3 linked regions of the Drosophila melanogaster genome follow. The protein of the gene in region 3 interacts with the protein of the main gene of each other region in a pairwise test. Each region holds a gene or a part of one and is shown on either strand. Other genes may lie near its edges.

What was found.
Region 1: the proteins of TppII (region 3) and CG3323 interact in a two-hybrid assay, tested with the Drosophila melanogaster proteins (one large-scale study listed by BioGRID).
Region 2: the proteins of TppII (region 3) and CG4367 interact in a two-hybrid assay, tested with the Drosophila melanogaster proteins (one large-scale study listed by BioGRID).

What each region holds. Positions count from the first base shown.
Region 1 is NC_004354.4:5,303,263-5,308,037, forward strand, and holds the start of CG3323 (uncharacterized protein), read right to left. Parts: upstream 2,430-4,775; 5' UTR 2,283-2,429; coding exon 2,069-2,282; intron 1,993-2,068; coding exon 1-1,992. Other genes in the region: CG42749 (uncharacterized protein), read left to right, coding at 2,617-2,733, 2,815-2,932; CG17764 (uncharacterized protein), read right to left, coding at 3,132-3,950; Cdk7 (Cyclin-dependent kinase 7), read right to left, coding at 4,500-4,775.
Region 2 is NT_033777.3:20,302,947-20,307,644, reverse strand, and holds CG4367 (uncharacterized protein), read left to right. Parts: upstream 1-2,667; 5' UTR 2,668-2,689; coding exon 2,690-2,863; intron 2,864-2,924; coding exon 2,925-3,443; 3' UTR 3,444-3,690; downstream 3,691-4,698. Other genes in the region: CG4362 (uncharacterized protein), read left to right, coding at 138-302, 729-1,101, 1,169-1,332.
Region 3 is NT_033778.4:13,156,383-13,161,157, reverse strand, and holds the start of TppII (Tripeptidyl-peptidase II), read left to right. Parts: upstream 1-2,016; 5' UTR 2,017-2,054; coding exon of another isoform or gene 2,055-2,141; 5' UTR 2,142-2,222; coding exon 2,223-2,391; coding exon of another isoform or gene 2,392-2,410; exon of another isoform or gene 2,411-2,492; intron 2,493-2,712; exon of another isoform or gene 2,713-2,785; intron 2,786-2,845; exon of another isoform or gene 2,846-2,881; coding exon 2,882-3,138; intron 3,139-3,325; coding exon 3,326-3,662; intron 3,663-3,721; coding exon 3,722-4,271; intron 4,272-4,327; coding exon of another isoform or gene 4,328-4,390; intron 4,391-4,527; coding exon 4,528-4,775. Other genes in the region: Nrk (neurospecific receptor kinase), read right to left, coding at 1-92, 159-438, 501-869; ND-MWFE (NADH dehydrogenase (ubiquinone) MWFE subunit), read right to left, coding at 1,242-1,427, 2,055-2,141, 2,312-2,410. UniProt on the Drosophila melanogaster protein: Component of the proteolytic cascade acting downstream of the 26S proteasome in the ubiquitin-proteasome pathway. Efficiently cleaves Ala-Ala-Ala-polypeptide and Pro-Pro-Ala-polypeptide, Val-Leu-Lys-polypeptide only at high concentration.

The sequences.
Region 1 (4,775 bases), on a different chromosome or scaffold from region 3:
ATATAACAGCGATCTGGACCATTCCCACCAATACGGTTTTGAGCAACTTCAAACGCACCTTGGGCTCCACGTCACAACGAACGGGTGGATCGGGCGCTCTACGAGTTATTACTTTCCTGGTCTTCTTTGGTCGCGAATCGAGATTGGATTCCAACGCGTCTTCCTCTTGCACTTTGCCGTTCGGCTCCTCCACTTTCATTCGCTTCCTTGTCCTGGGACTGGGATTGGGTGTAAAGTCTGGTGAACTAATTTCCTCTTCCGCTTCTCGAATTTTCTCCAACTTGGACAATTCCACGTCCGTTTGAGTGGTATTGTTCACCTGACAAGGACATTCAGTTAGACGATCGCCCTGCTCCTCTGATTTCACTGCAGGAGTAGGAGGAGCAGCAGCAGCAGCAGCATCATCCACGCCCACTTCGTTGAGACGCACCGAGAGGCGTGAATAGGCAATGGCTCCGCCATAATGGGCCATAGTTGCTCCACCGCCACCCGCCTCGCGTGTGGCCACCTCAAGCTGTTCGACGGTGTTAGCATCCATGATTTTTGAATCCGCATAGGCCAGACTATTGAAGAACATTGTGTCCTGATCCAAAAGATTAAAGGATCCCCCAGCGCCGGGCACTTTTCGCAGTTGCTGAAACAGCATATTCGGATTCTTACGCAACTGACGAAAGTTGGTGCACTGCAATGGATCATCCTCGTTGAGCTGGACCAATGGCGGTTCCTCTTTGGGTGCCGGTAAATAGAAGCATTGCGACTCATCCGCCGTCTTTAGCTCGTTAAGTGTTTTGGTCTCGATGCGAAACTCTTGGACAAAGCCCACATGGCAAACGGTGCCAATGATGCGTGCCCGCATCTCAATAGCTGGTATATATTCCAAGCGCAAACAACACAATTTCCTAATGGGCAGCTCGTCCAATTGATTGGGACTGGTGCGCGGTGTGTAGAAACGTCCAGATGATTGCCGGCTTATATCCGTAATGATTACGTTGCTTCTCGGCTTGGGTATATTGGTGGCCCTTAGTGTCGCCTCCAGTTTTTCGCTCACCTTATGCAGCATATGTATCTCATGCTGCAGCACGGGCAGTTTCTTTGACACCTGATCCAATTCCAATTGGCGCTGCTCCTTCTCGTACTGATCCTTTTCCAGCTGGCGCTGATTATTGTGCCTGTGGCACACCTCCTCCAATTGCAACCTCAAACGGTCCTGACTGCCAACCGCCTTCGACTCGAATTGCTGCTGGCGCTGCAGCATGGCCGCCAATGTGGGACTATCCAACTGGCTGGAGGTGGTCGATGTGCTCTGTGCCAGTCCCTCGACGGGCGAGAGTGTGTATCCCTCGCCGGCGCCACGGCTGCATAGAGCCTCCTCGGAAATGGTCCTCTGCAGCTTGAATGTCTCCTGTTCCTGCAAGCTAAACTCACCATCCTTTGGGCCATTCAAGTGCTCGCTGCTAGCGCGCAATTTTCTGGCAGTCAACAGAGCTTTGACCTTCTTCACCGGCTTGCATACATAGACGAAACTCTTGTTCCCCTCATCCGGCAGGCGTATGGCCTTGGCCAATTTGATCTTGTCGTGATCCATTGAGCTGCCGCTGTCGCTTATTAGCTTATCATCACTGCCGTCCTGCAGAATGCTGCTCTCGCTGTCATGTGGTGTATTCACCAAATGTTTAGCCTTGTGATTGCCCAATGGCAACGTCTGAGATTGCTCCACCGTGACCTCAGTGGTCAGAGCTTCGCGATATTGATTCTTCCTCGGCGATTTGTCCGCTCTGTTTGGCAATTTGGCCACTCGGGGCAGGAAACTACGCTGACGACTGGCAGTGGTGACATTCTTATTGGTGCTTGCATGGGTGCTGCTTAGGAACAACGGAGGGACCGGTATTCCGGACTTTGGTGGTTGTGCGTAACGATGTCTGGGCGACAATTGACTGGTCCAATCCTGTCCAGCTGTGTTGCAGTTTCGAGCCGAACGATTGCTGTTGTTAACTGAACAAAAAAAAAAAAAAAAAAGAAAACAAAATAAGAAAAAAAAATCTGAGATCTTTGGTTGGACGAAACTTACCGGTGGGCAGGCCACGCGACAGCATCTCCGTTCTGGTGTAGGTCATCTTGCGGCGGACATTCTGATTGCCCGTCGCTTGTCCCTCGTTGCCGACGTGATTACCCTGGTCGCCGCCCAGCTGAACCTGTGCCTGTCCCTGCATTTGGATGACTTGCGGCAGTCCCTCCTGGCCGCGATCTAACTGGCGTATCTGATTGATTCGATTGCGATTCATGTTGGTTGCTCCGCTACAGCGATCTATTGCGACATCTGCTATATATATATATATATATATATATATATAATATGTGACCTTCGTTTTGTGTTCGATTTATTGTAATGTCGAGCTTATAAAATAAATATTGGGAGTGGGAGCACTGTTCTAGTCGACTGACTGAGTGAAACGAACAGCTGGGACTAAAATCGAAATCGAACTTGACAGCCGAACGCCGGGTGTTCAAGGACTGCTGCGATGCCATTTCCAAAGCCATCTAGTTGATCCTAGTAGTTTTTTTTTTAGCATCATGGAATTCTTCTTGTTATGTGGCTATGCTATTGATTTCTTTTAGTGACCAAAAGTGCATTGGCGCCCCAGCATTCCGTGCCTTGCCGGGCATCGACAACTGGTGCGAGATCAATTGCCTGCGCTATCCGCCCAATTGTCCGGAGGACGCCTGCCAATGTCCGTAAGTATGCACATGAATAATATGTATCTAACGAGATACATACATAGCAAGTTCGAATCTAAACCCATATCAATTGCACAGTCAGGAGTGCGTGGCCATTGGCGAGTATGCTGGACAGGATGGTGCCGACACCTACTGCATGGACAAGTGTCTCAACTATGAATCGGAGTGTCCGCCGGACAGATGCCGCTGCTACTAAACCGGATTGCGAGCCACAGCTGTGCTGCCCACCCATTGCCCATGCGGAGGATGCGAGATGCGATATGCGAGATCTAATGAATTGAATTTAATCGAAGACACTGCTCTAAATTGTTTGAATTTCAATGGCTTGGCAAGGGGGGGTGCCTCCGTTTGTTGGGCTTTCCGTTTCAGTTCTCAGGCGTCACCGCAAGCCTTACTTACTCCCTCCTGTACGCGTCGTACAGAAAGGGTCGGGTGAATGCCTCGAGCAGCTCGCGCTGTTCGCGCAATCGTCGAGTCTGCGCCATCGGCGACTCAGCGATGTCGATGTTCCGCCGGGCACGGAAAAGTGCCGATACCGTGCTGCCCAGCTGCTGCCAGCGTTCGAAGGCCCGGGATTCGGTGTGCGGCGCATCGAGCATTACTTTGGACGACATCACTGATGCCGACAATTCAGCGATCTGTGCAGCAGCAGCAGCAGCAGCAATGTCTGTGCTGTTGGTTTCCGGTTGAGGTTGCTGTTCAGATTCCAGATTGAACTGAGATTGGGACTGGAGGTCGGGCTCCGTTTCCGGCTCAGATTTGCCAGGAGATGGCAAGTCAACGGACAGCTCATCGGGTGGCGGCATTGTCTGACTGAAGATGAGCACCTCGGCGCGCTCCTCGCGAGCATCATCCTCGCTATCCTCCAGGGGCAGGGCGTCGGTGCTGCCGCTAACTAAATCCCGCACGTGCGCAAAACTGGAAGCGATGCGACGCAGTGAGGGGTCATCCTTTTCCTTTTTCGTCGGCATTGCCGGCGCATCGGCATTGGTTTCCACCGGCGCCTTCTTGCTGTAGGCAGCATCCATTGTGGTTGCTTTGGTGGCGATGACATCGCCGGCATTGGTCGTCTGCTTCTGGCGCATCCTATGCAGATTTATGCTGGAAAATTTGTTACCATAGCTTTGACGCATCTCGGCGCGCTTGCGACGCGCCTCCTCCTCCGTCCTGGCCGCCTGTTGGTCCCTGGCCATCAGTTGCTGCGCCTTTGACATCGTCTAACTCCAAACAGGAAAACGAAATACGGCAAATCTTTAGTTAACACTAGCAAAAAGGAAAAAAAAAAAAAAAACAAAACAAAACACGGACCGAAACGAGCGCTGAGAATTTCGAGAGTTTCAAATGTGCGTCGATTGACTTGGTTACCAATTTGTTTTCAGAAATATAAATACGGTAGCGTGCACTGGAACAGCTTTTGCACAACCTACCAGGATCCTATGTACTACTAATTAACTACTCAATTTTCGCTCGCTTTCAATCACATCTTTAATAGATCATCCTCAATCATCTTAAGCATAGTCTTAACAACTCATGTTGGGTGGCGAAAAGGTTTTGCCAAGCGAGAAAAATTCATATCAATTAGAATGGAGTGGAGCTTTTGGAGTGGATGCAATGCATCCTTAAGCCTTTCAATAGAACTTATTGTGCATGTCTGCGGTGAACAACGTAACGCGATCACAAACATCAATGTTATAATGGAAAGTGTGTGTTAACTGAGTGAGTGTGTGTGGGTGTGTGTGTGTGTGTGTGTGTGTGTGTGTGTGCTAGAACTGCAGCCGCTTCTTCTGGGCCAATCCATTGCCCCTCACCGTAGTCTCGACCAGCTTGCGCTTGAGCGCAGGCTTCGTGTCGCCGGTCTGCGGATTGGCGCCCTCCTTGGCGGCCAGAATGGCCGACGGCATTGGCAACTTGGGACCCACTGTGGGCGCCGGTTTGTTAGCGAAATACGGCATGCTCAGTGCCTCGCGGCAGGACACACGCCGCAGCGGATTCATGGCAAACAGGCGTTGCATCAGATGGATCAAGTCATTGCCCGCGGC
Region 2 (4,698 bases), on a different chromosome or scaffold from region 3:
ATCACACGTTCTTATCGCCATGAGAGCTACTGTAAAACTCTCGATCCCAATGGGTTTGATAAGTCGGACAGGAGCACATATAAAACCTAGTGCGTCCGTGCGGGTGGCATTGTGAAAGTGAAAGTCAAATATACACCATGAAGTACCTGCTCAGCATGACCTTGCTGCTGGCCATCGGGCTGCAGCAGATCGACGCCCACGGCATGATGCTGTCCCCGCCGAGCCGATCCTCCCGTTGGCGCTACGATGGATCCGCACCCCAGAACTGGAACGACAACGAACTCTTCTGCGGCGGTTTGTACGTAAGTGTCGGATCAATTGGATAATTGGATAACCACAAGGATCTACGATAATTGAAGATTAGTGTGGCACATGCATGGGATTCTTAATGGTGATGCTCTTCAGTGGGCTAAAGCAAATGGCAAAACTTTTAGCCAAGGCTTTATGTTAGAAACTAAAATTTGTTATTCTTAAACGATTCATTACCAAATTATTCGGGGCGCATTCTTAAAGTGGCATCTTCAATGGAAATCAAATATGGAATACCAACACTAAATTAGAAACCTATTCCAGTGTTGGTTAATCATGTTCTAGGGACATCAATAGTATTCTTTCTTATGGTATGCCATTATTTAATCTGATTTCAACGGTACGAAAAGATGTCGTATTCTTTATAAACGAGGACCTTCAAAACGTTTACCATCAAATATGTTTTCGTAAACCCGCAGACGCAGTCCAACAATGGAGGTCGCTGTGGTCTGTGCGGCGACAACTTCCTGGATGCCCAGCCCCGTGCCAACGAGATCGGAGGAAGCATCGGTGGAGCTGGTGTGGTGACCAGGAGCTACGTGGCTGGCAATACCATCACCGTGGGCGTGAAGATCACCACCAATCACTTGGGTTACTTCGAGTTCCACCTGTGCAACCTGGACGCCTTCGGTGCCGAGTCGGAGGAGTGCTTCGATCAGAACCGCCTGCGATTCATCGATGGAAGCGATAGAAAGGATATCGGCGATCAGATGGGCGAATTCGATGTGACAGTCGTCCTGCCGGAGGGTCTTACCTGCTCTCACTGCGTCCTCCGCTGGACCTATGTGGGTGGTAAGTGGTGGCCAGAACGTAAATGGAACTTAAAGTGAAAATTAATTGAACATCTTGTGCATTTCAGCCAACAACTGGGGCATCTGCGATAATTCCGGAAACGGAGCCTTGGGCTGTGGCCCACAGGAAACATTCAAGAACTGCGCCGATGTGAGCATCTACTGGGGTCGCAACCTGGTCAAGGAATTGGTCGGTGGCGGAGATCCAGTGGCTCCGGTTGAGGTCGCCTGAAAATCCAGACTAAAATTCAACGAACTGCCATTTATGTCTGAAAATGCAAAATGCCAAATAGTCAGCTAAAGTTATTTAAATAAATGAGTGAACATTTACACATTAGTTAATTGGGTCCTTGGAGCTGCTTCCTATTTATAGAAATTTAGTTTTATTTACTGTTTAATTTTGAGATCTTATCCAATTTAGATACATTATTTAAACAGATGTTAGAGATAGACACATCATAACCAATATTTTTTAAGTCCAAAACTATGCAACAAATTGTATAAATCAGAATTTGTTAATGTTCTACGGCCTTCAGGTATACAGTATTTCTGCTAGGTTTTGACCTAAAAAGCAAGCAAAAAAAAATAATAGAAATTTGTTTATATATAATAACAATAATAGTGTGTAAATTGAAGGCGAAGTGGCTTTAAAGAACAGAATTACGTTACTTATAGTTCGATTCTTTTCATTGCAAATTTCAATATTTTGTTCGCTTTCACCTTGATTATTAATGCTTAATTGATGATTCTGAGAACACGTTGTATCGATAAAACAAAAGCATATAACCGCAAAAGTTGACCAAATAGATTGTGTTTATAGGGCAATTTAAATTTATGAAATCTGAAGATAGATATGCATCTTTTTTTGCAGTATGTGCTAAAATATATGTCTTATTTTGAGCCAAAGGGCCATGAAAAAGGAAAATAGTGGCTTCAAAGTACTCGCATGTTTTATCTGGAGGCATCATGGAATAATCGAAACTAAATAATTGCTGATTTATTAATATACGAGCAGCTTAATCCCTGAACTTAAACGTGGCCAATTTTTTTTAGCTGCGCGCAAGTGCTCTAAATTTGTTGTTTAAAAAAACATTTGCGTTTTTGGCTATTGTATGGACCGTACTACAATATATGATTGGCAGAAAAGTGCTGAAGTCAAAACCAACTAAAATAGTAAGTAATTGCACTTAAGAATCGTTGACCTTGGCTAACAAATTTTGCGAAATCGTGAGAATTTTTCCAAGCCTTTGAACTCCTATCAAAATGGCATTGGTGGGCTAAATAATAATAGCATAATAAAGCAGTCTTCCAAGTTATTATGATTAGGTTACCAAAAAATACGGGTATTGCTTAGATGTGTCATATGTGTTTTCACACTTTCCAGGTCAGATACAAGAAATTCTCCCAAATTCTAACTACCAATAACCATAAACGAAATTAAGATTGTGAGCCGATAAGATGCATTCACGGTTATTGGACGAAAAATCAAAAACAAACATAAACTGCCCGGCAACTGATAAGGTTTGGCAATATGGAACTATATAAGGCCACGACCAGTTCGTTTTGGCCACAAAGAAAGTGAAATCAATATGAATACGTATAAATTTATCCTGTTTCTTAGCATGGGTTTTTTAAACCGGATGGGTGAACTGGAGGGCCACGGTATGATGTTAAGTCCAACCGGAAGATCCTCGCGTTGGCGCTACGATAACTCGGCGCCAACAAACTACGATGACAATGCATTATATTGCGGTGGATTTTGGGTAGGAGTGCCTTAAAAAAATTCTATATTCATTTGATTCAATGATGTTCTTAACCCTTTAGAAACAAACCGAAAATGATGGCAAATGTGGACTGTGCGGAGACGACTGGAGCTTGGAGCAGCCGCGACCCAATGAGTTGGGTGGAAAATATGGCAGTGGAGTGATTGTAAAGAGCTTTGCCGGAGTAGATGAAGCGGAAATTAATGTTAAGATCACAGCCAATCATCTGGGCTACTTCCGCTTCCACATCTGCGATTTGGACGAAAATGGCAGCGAGTCGGAGGATTGCTTTAACCAATATCCTTTGAATTTCACCGACGGTAGCCAGAAGTACTACATTAACACCACCACTGGCGATATCCCAGTAACCGTGAAACTGCCCAGTGATCTCAACTGCATTCATTGCGTTTTGCGCTGGACTTACACGGCGGGAAATAATTGGGGTGTTTGTGAGGATGGGACGGGCGCCATGGGTTGTGGGGCGCAGGAAACCTTTATTAACTGCGCTGATATCAGTGTACTATCCTCAGCGAGAAGTATTATCCAGGAGGTGCCCGTGGAGGTGGCGGAATCGAAGTGAGGTGGTTATCATCAGCGGTGGCCAATCGAACAATACTGCTAGTCTCAATAAATTATGTAACTTATTTATTTCTAATTGTTCCAAATTGTTCATCAACAATACGATTTTGTTTTAAGAAAAGGTTATTTTATTACTTCAATTCTTCATTTATGTATTGATTTAACAATACTTGATAAAAAATGCACCTCAAAAAGTTCCATTTAACAATAAGACAATAATAGTTAAGTATTTACGAACCACCATAAATAAATGCCATTTTGAAAATTATGAATGTTTATTTCTGTTTTATTCAATAAATTAATCGTCGTATATATTATTTATACATATATATGAGTGTGTGTTTTGAGTGTGTGTGTGGATTGTTGGTGATGACCGTTCGTCTTTGAGGTGCAGGGCATCGCACTCCCTCCTCCTAAGATGGATCCTACTTATTAAATTCTTGATTCTGAAAGCCCTGTCTTAGACGTGTTCTTAACGATCGGATGAGATTTGCACGGTTGAGTGCTTAAATATTTGTTGTTTTTAAGCTATCCTGTTTATGTTCGTATTTGTATCTTGTATGTTATTTTAATATTCGTAATTTGTCTTAAGTTATTCGTGGCTTACAAAATATGTTTCACATTAACTGGCTTATTAGTTAACTTCACAAATAAGTTGTATGTATATATATATGCATTCTTTTCTTTTATATTTTACAAAGCCTTCAAAAGTCAATTGCAAACGATAAGTCGGTAAATTCACTACAAAACTCAAAAGTCGCGTTTTAAGAATATCTATTGGTTTACGTTTTCCTTTTAACAATTAACTAAACAAACCGCAAACAACAGTGTGTAATCTCGATTGCCACTAATGATGCCATCAATCTGATGTATTTAGATATATATTGAGCTCTATGTTTTGAGGAGAGTACAGATACGGCTTGAAATGCCCTCCTCGATTAAAAACTATAAAAAACACACTCTCCATTATCGTCAAAATGTGCGAATCGCTCACAACTGAATTACAAGTGTTTCAGCCCTTTTTGGGCTTTGTTTCTAAATCACCATCGTTTAAAAGCATTTTAAAATACAGTGGTTGCACTTCGAGAAAAATAGATGTATATTTATATATATTAATGTGGGGGAGGAGGTCCTTCGCTTCTCTACCAAATATTTTGTTATAAAAGCACCTTATAAATTTTACACGTACTCGCAAAGTTTACCCACTTGCCTCGTTTGTATAAATAGCTAAATAGTTCATCTTTCATTTTTACTTT
Region 3 (4,775 bases):
GTACTGAGTGTCCCAGCGCTGGCAGGGAATGCCCGACTTGGACACGTTCATTGTGCCCATGTAGAAGCGTCCGTTTCCATTGCGGCAATCGTCTGTGAAGAAAAGGGATTCTAGCATCAGAAAGACCTTCTTGAGGGTTTGTGATAATGAAGACTTACAGCTCACTTCGGACTCCTTGAGTTCGGTGAGACCGATGTAGGAGCAGTTGGGTCGCCGCATGGAAGCGTTGTAGTGCGGCAAGGAGGAGCAGTTGGGTAGCCGGAAGTGGCCGCGGCTCTTGATGAACATATTTCGCTCCTTCTTCTCCTCGATGAGCACCCAGTCGTTGTAGCAGAACTGGAGATGCGTGGCCTGGCAATCCTCGAAGCAGAGAGGAGCCTTCACCGCTCGACCGCCCTCCATGTGGCAGTTGGGAAACGCATAGGCGCAGAGCATTTTCTGTAGCGAAAAGAGATTAATGGGATGAGATGGGATCTCTAGATGTATCAATCGAAACTCACCTCGGCTGCTTCGCGACACAGACCCGTAAGATCGGAGATAAGCTCGTCCCAGAGCGCCGTGGTCACCTGCTCGTTCTTCCACCCGCCAGTGGGATCCTCCAGACTGTACCACACCTGGCCGGTGAGGTATTCCTTGCACACCTTGCCGCTGTACGGGGCGCAGTAGCCGTTCTCCTCCCGCTCGCGCTCGTGATGCCGCTGGTGGTGTCGCCGGGTGACGGGCTCCTCGATGGCGTTCAGGGAGTTCGCGTGCGTGGCGCTGGCAAAGAGAAACACGCACAGCCCCAGGACAGCCAAATTGGCCCCCCATTTCAGCACCATTCCCCGGAGCACCCGCTCAACCACCCCCACCCATTGCCCGGCAGCCATGGCTGTGTTTTATGTATATGCCTTGTTTAGCGAACCGTTTCCAAGCAAAATCCTTGCGAGCACTCATAAACTAAGGCATTTTACCGCCTTACACCACAATATTCAATCTACCCGAATTTTAAAATAGATTTTAAGAAGTAAGCTCGAAGTAAGTCGGCAGAATATTTGTTTATTTCCGCGCACACAGCTCGACGACGCCTTTTCACCGAATACCACACAAAGCTGACGACGGGATGTTTCGCCACCCGTACTTCTCCCTTAGGGGTGGTTTCCTGTCACGAGCACAGGGTTGCTAAATGCGCGGCAAAGGCGGCCGAAAGTCCTGTGCTCGGCTTGAGAGCTCCACTGGCGAAATGTTTGTTTTTATTGATATTAATTTTTCTTCTGCTTCTCCTCCTCCTTCAGCTGTTTCTCCCTGAGCTTTTCCTCCTTCTTCAGCTGTTTCTCCCTTAGCTTCCGCTCTTTCTCCCGCTTCTTCACGATTGCGGGATCATCGCTGTCCTCATTGGGGTCCTTCTCCTCCTTCTTCACCTCTTCATCGGGAATTTGTTCAAGACCCTATAGAGAAAGAAGCTTTACACCTGAGGCAGCAAAAAAAAATCTGTAAGGAACTACAGGAAAAACCAAAAACGACCATTTCAACTATCACTTCCGAACTGCACGTTTCGTTTATTCACTTTTGCACTTAAGCTTAAACGGAAAACTTTACTTAATTAAAATTAGTTCGTTTTCTCATCCGGTATGGCATCCAGACCCTGCAAGAAGATTGGTTCGGTTTTTTGTAAATGATTTAAGCTTATAACTCTTCGAATAAGCGTAAAAAAATGGATGGTATGAATTCGTAGGAAATAAAGTAACATTAACTACCGCCACCAATGATCAATAAACAATAAAAACGAAATTAACCAAGAAAACTAAGATTTTAAATGCAATTACCTTATAATATAGAAAACTTTAAAACTAATATTTTATTAGTGAAGAAAGCTAGTTCATAACACCAAAAACAATCTATTTAACATACTTCAGAGAAAAACATAAACAACGAAACCAAAATGAGCGTGCATAATAATGAAGTGCGTGCTGTGAGATAACAAAACTGCTGCCAAAAATAGGGTAAAAACGTGATGGTTGGCCTGCCGCACAAAAATCAGTTGTAGGCAGGCCAGACTATAGCACAACACTTACGTTCATCTTGTAGGGATTGTCGGTCAGTCGGAAATCGCGCTGGTACATAACTCGGCTGAAACGCTCGTCCATGTTGCGCCGGAAAGCCTGTTGAGCAAACGATTAGCAAACAATTAGTAACTCCGTAGTGTTCCGTCGAACTCGTTGCGAAAAGCAGGCGGTTAAATAATGTTTAACAGATTCCGATTGGTGCACAAACAGCTGCGGTTATATAAGAATTTCGGGCTGCTGGGCCAGAAGGCCAGCGTGGGACTCACATTGCCGATCATCAGCTTGTCCAGGCCGTACATGGCGTATATGGGCACCGAGAGGAGCGTGGTGATGATCACCGCACCAGGTAGGATTTCGAACCACATATTGTCAATGGAAATAGATTGTTATGATATTTACTGCAAGACGACACCCAGTGTGACCGTGGATAGTCCGTTCCAATATACAGGTAGCCTTACAAAATATACCAAAAACTTGAATGTTGAACTAGAGGTGGGCCAGTAACGATAAGAAAGTAACGGTGACTGAATTCTATTCTGCTACTGCGTTTAGAAAAACGTCAATGTTGATTTGAAAATAGTTTTTGACCAATAGTTGGCTTAAATAATTTGTAAATAGATCTGATATATCTAGTAGAGCTGATAAATGTACGCAATGTTTATAATCAATTTCAAAGCTCGAAAGTATATAGAAAACAAATTCCAGTGTAAAGCTGCGTGACCGTTTTACGCTCTATTCGGGTTGGTATTTTTCCCAATGCACTTTTCGTACATCCAGCTGGACCATTTTTTTGCACTCAGATCTCGGTCTTACCAATCCGATTCTTCATTGAACAGCTACGAAGGAATTCGCAGAGAGTTCTGAGCGCAGCAATAGCAGCAAGAAGACTACCAACAAAGAGCAGAGCGACAAATCAGCGGAGAGCAGGATGGCCACCAGCGGTATTGTCGAGTCATTTCCCACGGGCGCACTGGTGCCCAAGGCGGAGACGGGAGTCCTGAACTTTCTGCAGAAGTACCCGGAGTACGATGGACGCGACGTCACCATAGCCATCTTCGATTCCGGCGTCGATCCCCGGGCAACGGGACTGGAGGTGAGTTGGCACTTTTTCGCACTCTCTATACCGGTTACAAAGAACTTGTACAGTTATTCTTCCAATATTTACAATATTTCGTCTTACCTATTCTATTACGATTTAATCCTTCTACTGTGTCACGACTGCTTCTTACTCCCGTTTCTCATTATAACCGATCCAATTTCAATCTGCTCCTACGCAACAGACGCTGTGCGATGGAAAGACCGTTAAAGTAATAGAGCGGTACGACTGTTCCGGATGCGGCGACGTGGACATGAAGAAGAAGGTGACGCCGGACGAGAACGGCAACATTAAGGGCCTGTCCGGAAACTCGCTCAAGCTGAGTCCGGAGCTGATGGCTCTGAACACAGATCCGGAGAAGGCGGTGCGGGTAGGCCTCAAGAGCTTCAGCGATTTGTTGCCCTCCAAGGTGCGGAACAACATTGTGGCCCAGGCCAAGCTGAAGCACTGGGACAAGCCGCACAAGACGGCCACTGCAAACGCCAGTCGCAAGATTGTTGAATTTGAGTCACAAAATCCAGGTGAGCTAAGTGATTGATTACTTGAGGCAAAATTACCAACAACATATGTATCTTTGCAGGAGAAGCCTCAAAACTGCCCTGGGACAAGAAGATATTGAAAGAGAATCTAGACTTTGAGCTAGAGATGTTGAATAGCTACGAGAAGGTGTACGGCGACATTAAGACCTCCTACGATTGCATCCTTTTTCCCACGGCCGACGGATGGCTGACAATCGTCGACACCACGGAGCAGGGCGATCTGGATCAGGCTCTGCGCATTGGCGAGTATTCCCGCACGCACGAGACCCGCAATGTGGACGACTTTCTTTCCATATCGGTAAACGTCCACGACGAGGGCAACGTACTGGAGGTGGTCGGCATGAGCTCACCCCACGGCACCCACGTATCGTCTATTGCCAGCGGCAACCATAGCTCCCGGGACGTGGATGGCGTGGCGCCGAATGCTAAGATCGTTTCTATGACCATCGGTGATGGTCGACTTGGGTCTATGGAGACCGGCACGGCACTAGTGCGTGCCATGACTAAGGTGATGGAACTATGTCGCGATGGCAGACGCATCGATGTGATCAACATGAGCTATGGCGAGCATGCCAATTGGTCAAATTCCGGGTAAGCAAGTGCGAAAGGCCGGCGGAACTAATCCCAAAGTTGGTGATGTCTTTTAGTGTGTCTGGGTCAGGGTCTGGGTCGGATGAAATGCGTCGCAGAAGAAAGATGTGTGCGTCTAGGTAAATTTCATGAGAAATCCAAATATTCACACAGTCCAATCCTCTTGTCTTCGACACGTTCCAGCCGACACACACCTAACTGATAACCATCAAAATTCATGAAAAAATACCTAATCTATATCTCTAATCTCTTGCAGCCGCATTGGGGAGCTCATGAACGAGGTTGTCAACAAGTATGGCGTGGTGTGGGTGGCATCGGCCGGCAACCATGGTCCGGCACTTTGTACTGTGGGAACTCCGCCGGACATCAGCCAGCCCAGTTTGATCGGCGTGGGCGCGTACGTATCACCCCAAATGATGGAGGCCGAGTATGCGATGCGAGAAAAGCTGCCCGGGAACGTGTACACCTGGACATCGCGAGATCCCTGCATCGACGGAGGTCAAG